2 linked regions of the Arabidopsis thaliana genome follow. The protein of the gene in region 2 interacts with the protein of the main gene of each other region in a pairwise test. Each region holds a gene or a part of one and is shown on either strand. Other genes may lie near its edges.

Region 1 (3,756 bases), on a different chromosome or scaffold from region 2:
ATGAAAGTAATCATCGGCTGATCATTAGTATGCATGAAAAATTCCCATGTATAATTATATTGTTAAATAGTTTTTCATTTATTACAAACATGATTTACTTGACTAAAATTGAAGGTGAGAAAATAAGATGTATAAATTAAAGTGAAGACTATTTTACCTTTTTCTACAAATAAAATAATAATTACAAACTATTCTTTTTCTCAAACCAGCAATCCCACTGAAAAACAAAGTGGGAATTGTAGAAGAGACCATCTATACGCATCTTACCCTTTCTAACATAGTTTTTGTGTTCTTCCTACTAGTTAAAATGCCACCCAAAAAAAAAAGAAAATTAATATTTTAAGTAATAAAATTAAACGAATTACTACTATTCAACAAGCTGCAGATGGGTTAGTAAAAGGGTTGAAGAAGTGAGGCTTTGAGGAGATAGAGAAAGCTCCTTTGGCCGTACTTCCATCTACAATCACCGCGGTAGCCCCGCTGCCGCCACCTCCTCCTCCATTACCCCCGCCGCCGCCGCCGATTCTCTCACAAGAAGGACACTTCGTTAGAGTCGATGCAGGCATGTGCATGTAAAAGGGCTGAGTCAATTTTAGGGTTTTGAGTTCTTGAATCTCTTTCTGAAGTCTTATGTTCTCATCTGCTAATGTTTCACAACACTTCTTCAAAAACTCACAATCTACTTCTGTTTGCTTCAGCTTTGTCCTGCTCATTCATTAAATAAAATAAATAATTAAATATATATAACCGAAAGAAAAATCATATCACCTAAAAAATAGAAAATATTTTCACCTACAAAATTTTCTGACTATTAAAGAAATTTTGACACATGAAAAAATCAAATATTCTGATAATTTATAATATAATTTTTTTTACCTGGCTCTTCTATTTTGAAACCATACTTCAACTTGTCTAGGCCTTAGATTCAGCTGTCTAGCCAGAACTTGCTTTTGTTTCTGTAAATAAAATATAACAACAAAGAATCTGATTGGATAAGAATTATCAAAAGTGATTAGTAACGTATAATAAAAAAGAATTAGGATTAAGGATATGTAGTTACGGGATTAAGGGTGCTATGATCCTTGAAGCTTTCCTCAAGAAGAGCAGATTGTTGTTTCGTAAGCCTAAGTTTTTTTCTAGCACTAATACCTTCTTCATCTTCATGGTAATCACTTATAACTCTCTCCGTCATCTCTTCCTCCTCCGGCGACTCTTCGCCACCGTCTCTCTCTCTTTTCACCACCCTCCCGCTTGAGAAAGAAGAGACTCCGCTGTGAGATGACGTCTGACGGCATAGCTGGTCAGCTCCGGTCACCACGGTAACCGAGGGATCGCCCGAGAGGCATAGAGTCAACGACGGCTCGAGCTTGTAAACGGAGGATTGTCTGATGGTACTATTGTAATTATTTGGAATTGGTGAGGGACCTAATCCAAGAACAAGACCTGTGTTGCATGTATCATCAAAACCCATCTGAGTCGAAATGAAAAAAATATGCCTTTAAAATTTATCTATCTTTGAGATTTCGAGAGGAAAAGGAAATGAGTTTAGAAGATAATGGGAGGAGATGAAGCCAATGGGGCTTCTTAAGAAGGAGAAGAAAAGTATTTTTTTTATTTTATATTTTTAAGAAATTGATGGGTGGGTGGATGGCTAATAGTTATTAATCAAAGGAATGATTTATATTATTTTAAAGAAATGATTTTATTTTCTTGGTAATTCTTTTCCTGAAAGAAAAAAAAAATAATGTGGGAAATTATGATGGCACAATTCTCTCTACTTTTATTTTTCTTACTTGCAAAGGTTGACCAAATGAGCATCTCACTTGGCACTTGCTACTATTCTTCCCACTAATAAGAGAAAAGTTCCCGAAAAAGTTCAATGATTTTATATTTGGTAGAAGATGGAATTATCGTATCATGAATATAAATTAAATATTATATTTAAAGCTTTCTCCATTCTTTTTCTGGTATCATTGGGTTCAGTCGGCATCGGTATTTTAGATTTTTATATCATGAATATTTTTATCATGAAGCGTACGTTATTGTAGACAAAAAAAAAAAAAAGAGACGAAATTAGTATGAATAGTAATTAGAAAGTGATTAAGAGGTGCCTTTAAATAACGGACCACAAGACAGTTTTACTTTTACCCACTAATTTTCAGCCTCCTTTTCCTTATCATAGAAACACATTGGCCCTTGATGTTTTATTCATTTATTTAATTATGTATTATATATTTTAGTTATTTTTTTTCTTCGTATACATATGGATAGTGATCCCCACCATCTTGTTTAGGTTTGGTTCTCTTGATGTCATTCACCAATTAATTTAGTACTTTTTGGAAAGAGTTAGGCTTAGGCATATACTTTATTTTCGAAATTTTTTAAACAAGGTGATTCATCCGTACCAATAACTCGTTACATCCATAATTAGTCTCGAGCTTTAACTCACAGTTATCTATATAGATTACAAAGTATTTCCTAGAGTTTTATAATATATCATATCGCGCTTTCTCTTTCAAGATAAACTGATGTACCAATAAAACATATAAGAGAAAAAAGGAAGTAAAATCATTTTGAAACTAAAGTGTACGAATATATTTATATATTAGGGTAAAATACTAAAATAAGAACAACTATATATATAAATGTCACTATACCATGATAACAAATGTTACTGATTTATACCATGCATGGTGTTAAAAGCCGGAATTCAAACTATTATATTTTGAGCAGTCATTACATCACAAATTAAGACTCGGTCAAGCTATATCGCTAGATATAATCAAAAGTCTTAAGTCCGTAGTTAGGTTTATTTTACCCGATTTTTATTCAAATTGCAATATGTGGTCGAAACAGTTGTAAAAAATGGGTGCTCACCTTTTAAATCACTTTTTGTTTGGTTACCTGACGTAACATTAGAATTATCAAGAGAACACACAAAGGAGAAGTACAATAAAAGTGGGTAGAAACTAAAAAAATGATATGGGTGAATACGATTCGTCAACAATAACCTAAAATCTTTGGAGTAATGGATTAAGAAAGTTTATGTGTAACGTTTCATTAGGTTTGGTCTCAGCTTTGTTATTTGTTTTGGCACTTCCCAATAATGAATTTGTCGGCTATACTCGTCCAAGTAAAGTTTTTTTTTTTTTTTGTCGACCGTCCAAGTAAAGTTAGGTTACCCATCTTATACATATTATTATTATCATTATTTTTAATCCTTAATTATTTTTTCATTTATAATCTACTCTTATATATATATATGTATATATATATATATCTTTCTTATTTTTTAATTAATGCATTTTCTTAACGAAATTCTGTTTTACCCCCTAATTCTGCTAGTAGCACACACACGATATTAATGCTTCAATCAATGAAAAATACCAATTATAACTTAATGTGATTTTTCAGTTCATATCATTGTATAACATTTGACTTTTTCTAGGTACGACGAGTTATCAATATGCTAGGAAATTAAGAATGATGAAAGTTCGTGGATAATCTTATATTAATTATAAATTGATTTTTTTTTGAGGAATATTAATTAAATTGATAAAAAGTAGAATAGTTCATCAATTTTAACTATAAACTTTAATATGGTGTCGCACCGTGGAATTGGTGCTCATTGCTACTTGATTAGACTATTTTTCTAATAGAATATTAGTATAATCTGACTTTGACATTGTGCAAATATTCATGAATTTAGCTCACATTATGTATATAATATAGAAATATATATTTGTATTTGTCAAC
Region 2 (3,756 bases):
CAATAAGTTCATAAGTTTTCTTGGGGATGAAGAAGGTACTACTAAGATAAAGCCTAAGAAGAAACATAAGAACACTCCTAAACAAACAAAAGCCATAATAAGAAGTCATGTCAAAGTACTGATGATAATGATAATAGTGATCGCGATGATGAGAACGGCGATAGTGATAGACTGAGAGTGATGGTGGTGGTGGTGAATGGTGAGAGGATCAAGCATCTCTACGCAAGACATGGACTCGGATGGAATGAACCATCTTCTGGTCATCATGAAGAAGCTCGCATTCGACAGTATCTTGGTGCTTTTTGAGCCTGTTCCTTCTGCAAATCCTGTCCCATCCTTTGAAGCAAACCCTCTTATCAGCCCATTTTCCTCTTAGCCCTACTAAGGTTCCTTCTCCATCGATGTACTTGATGGATGAACCAAATTCAAGGTTATTATCCTTCACCACATTGGCTGGGATCAACTACACACAAAACAAAATCACCGCAACATGTTAAAGCCATACTGAAAGTAAAACAGAGATAGTAACTGAATCTGAAGTCTTATATTCGTCACTTTTACCAGTTCATAAATCCTGTTCTTGAGCGTAGTCGGAAAGTGTGGATTAGTTAAAGCTTCCACGTCCAAGTTCCCTTCAAAAACTGAAACAAAACAATCTTTAGTATATTAGATTGTGTTTTTGGATTAACAATGTTTATGTACTTTTGAAAAAAGACTATCAAACCTGCAGCATCGGTTGCAGTCTCTTCGTCAATCGGATAAAGACTCTGGCTGATTTCTTCATCTTCATCAAAGCTACCATCATCATCTTCATCTTCATCTTCATCTTCATCATCATCATCTTCAACAACATCAGTTGAGTCTTTTTCGTCTTCCACAACAGAATCAGAATCAGAATCAGAAAGTGGTATGGCTTGTATTTCAGCTCTGACCTCTTTGCTACCCCAACGATCAAAGACACTCACTTCAAAGGTACGATGACCATCATACACAAATGTCATGAACTCTCCGTTCTTCAGCTCATGTTCCTCTGCGAATTTTGGCCATCCTCTAGTAAGATACGCAGCTCCGCTTATTTTCTTCAAGCTCACAGTCCAAAGTTTTCCTCCAAGACCTTGGAGCTTCACTGTCTTTGGCAATGGATCAGCAAGAAATGCCATAAAAGGCAACGGAATCATCTGATGAACCAAACACAAATGTCAAACATCAGATTACTTGTTACAACTTAAAACAAAACTCAACTCAACTCCACAAGTAAAATGTCATCAAAGTCATAGAGTCTCTCTGTTTCAAGCTAAGCAGTCACAGTTTTGACCTATGCTTTATTGAACGAGATACAAAGACACAGATCCAGAGTTTTTCATCACTTCCAATTTCACAGCTCGTTTTCTCATTTCCGTTTAGAAGCAGAAGAAAGATTGAAAACCCGTAAACCCAACCCCAACTGCTAAACTAGCTAAAGATTATATCTTTCTCATAAAGCCATAACTTTCATACTAATACTTGAGATTCAAAGTCTGAAACTTTTCCTACTACAGAAACAAGGAAGAAGAAAGAAAGAGAGAGAGAGGTTCTTACCAACGATTCAGAAGCCGATTCAACGAGGAACACTTTGAAGAAACGAGGATACAATTCGCTATCGTCAGCCATGGAATGATGTTGGAAACGAGAGAGAGAGAGAGAATCGAAATGGGTTTCTTAGCTAGTGAGAGGAAGATAACGTTGAAGGTTCAGAGTTTAAAGGAGAAAGAGAGAGAGAAATGAGTCAAAGAAGACCTCTGCTGCGTTCTTGTACAAAACAGAGTACTGTACTATCTCAAAGCTTTATGATTTTTGCAGTTTAACCCATAAATTCTAGTAAAAAAGAAAAGAGAAGCTGATTTCTAATTGGTGCTTGACTTCTGAAACTTGTTTTCGATCGGTACTTACGAATCAGAGACTATTTCCATCTCTTTCCTCTGTTTTTTGTTTTTTCATTTCTTTTTTTTCTTCCTCATTTTCATCTTCGTTTAACAAAAATAACTCTTATCGTTGTTAAATTGACAAAAAACAATAAACCAAAATGTTATTCAAGACCTCTTTAAGTTTTTAAAGTGAAGCTAATATTTTCAAACGTTTACAAATGCTTTTTAGATAAATAATTATTTATCTAACAAACACACAAATACTCTTGCATCTATACAAATGACACAGAAAATGCATGCATGTGAGGAATTCAATATTCTAATACAGTAAATAAGAGAAATAATTATCAAAAAGAAAAACGAAGTTTGCGTGTTCTTCTGTTTATAGATTTGAATGAAACATCATTCTCTGCAAGCCAGGGATTGGTTCTGTTTTCTATGGTGAGATTGTAGCCCACTCTATCCACTGTTGCGTTCATATATCTTTCACTTCATGTTCTTATTATATACTTCATTGGACTGTTTTGTTTTCAGATTTAAACCATTTACATTTCGATTAGAAAGAGTATCTTATAAACCAGATTAATTCGTAAAATTTCATAATACAAGAACTCGTTAGATTAAAGATTCTTTACGCACAAATTTATAATGTGCTTCCTTTTTCTGGAGGATGGGATACATAAGAATCTAACATGCAGAGAAATTCCTATTTGTAAAAAAGAAAGCTCCATTGCATGGAGAAAACTATTGATAACTTCAAGCATCTCATTCTCATCATCCCTCAAGTTGATCTTCTGCATCGATTTTGGAATACAATTTGTTCGGCAGTTTAGGAGACGAGACAGAGACAACCTTTGAACTTGCCTTACTTTTTGAATTCGTCGACTCTTGTATTGGAGACCTCGCAGGTTGAGTCTTTCCTCCAGACTTCTTACTGGCAGATGAAGATGATCCATGTCTTGCCTGTTTAACAAAGAGAGAAAGAAATAGAGACATCATTTACTTGATCAGATTCCAGACAGAAACAGATCTTGTGCCAGTTGGTTCCAATCTCAAGGAACAACAATTGCATATTTGGTCTCTAGTTTGTTCATGAATTTTGGGGACTTACTCCATCAAAGAAGCCGATTTTTGGTGATGGCACACGGAGACCTGATGGTTTTGCGGAAGCTGAAGGAACCAAACCACCGTTGATAGCTGAAACTCGTTTTGTGCCTTCCTTAGCATCAGCTTGGACAACAGATGTATCTTTGGAGTTCTTGAGAGGTTTCACAGTTTGTACTGTATTATCATTTGCAGGAACCTTTTCACGAGAGACTGTTTTCTGGTTACCATTAGCCATTTTACTAGTTTCAGAAGCTCGTGATGACTCTGATGAATAGTCACTGATCGAACCAGCAGTTGGTACACTGGAGGAAAGCTTGGGCTTGGATGTCTTATTGGTTTGTTGGGGTGGGATTCTTGGCTGGCCCATAATACCTCTAGATGTAGATCGATTTGCCAATGGCTGGGAAGATAATCTGGAACTTGAATCATTCTTCTTCTTTATCGAATCTATAGAAGGTTTGTGAGAAGCGCTAGATGAAGCACTGGCACAGCTCTCTAGTGAAGAACATGAAGAGGTCATTTCATTCTTTGAGGCATCTGAAGAACGTGAAGAAGACTTAAAAGGCACACCAGGTTTTGGTAAGACGGGTTTAGCACGTCGCGACATGGATATTCTTGGACCCAGAGGCTCTTTACCTGTACTATTCAAGGTCATACAATATATTTCAATTTTAAAAAAACAAGTGTAAACTTCTTTAAGAACAAGTTCTGACTAACCCGCAGGTAATTTGGAATTCTTTTCTTG

What was found. Proteins that work in one complex are often made in the same cells at the same time.
Region 1: the proteins of AT3G53310 (region 2) and HAT9 interact in binary tests that used the Arabidopsis thaliana proteins (3 or more experiments, as listed by UniProt).

The regions. Positions count from the first base shown.
Region 1 is NC_003071.7:9,704,578-9,708,333, forward strand, and holds HAT9 (Homeobox-leucine zipper protein family), read right to left. Parts: upstream 1,641-3,756; 5' UTR 1,472-1,640; coding exon 1,061-1,471; intron 957-1,060; coding exon 877-956; intron 706-876; coding exon 372-705; 3' UTR 55-371; downstream 1-54. UniProt on the Arabidopsis thaliana protein: Probable transcription factor.
Region 2 is NC_003074.8:19,766,719-19,770,474, forward strand, and holds the start of AT3G53310 (AP2/B3-like transcriptional factor family protein), read right to left. Parts: upstream 2,069-3,756; 5' UTR 1,651-2,068; coding exon 1,579-1,650; intron 1,179-1,578; coding exon 725-1,178; intron 642-724; coding exon 562-641; intron 464-561; coding exon 209-463; 3' UTR 1-208. Other genes in the region: AT3G53320 (mediator of RNA polymerase II transcription subunit-like protein), read right to left, coding at 2,679-2,867, 3,016-3,647, 3,729-3,756.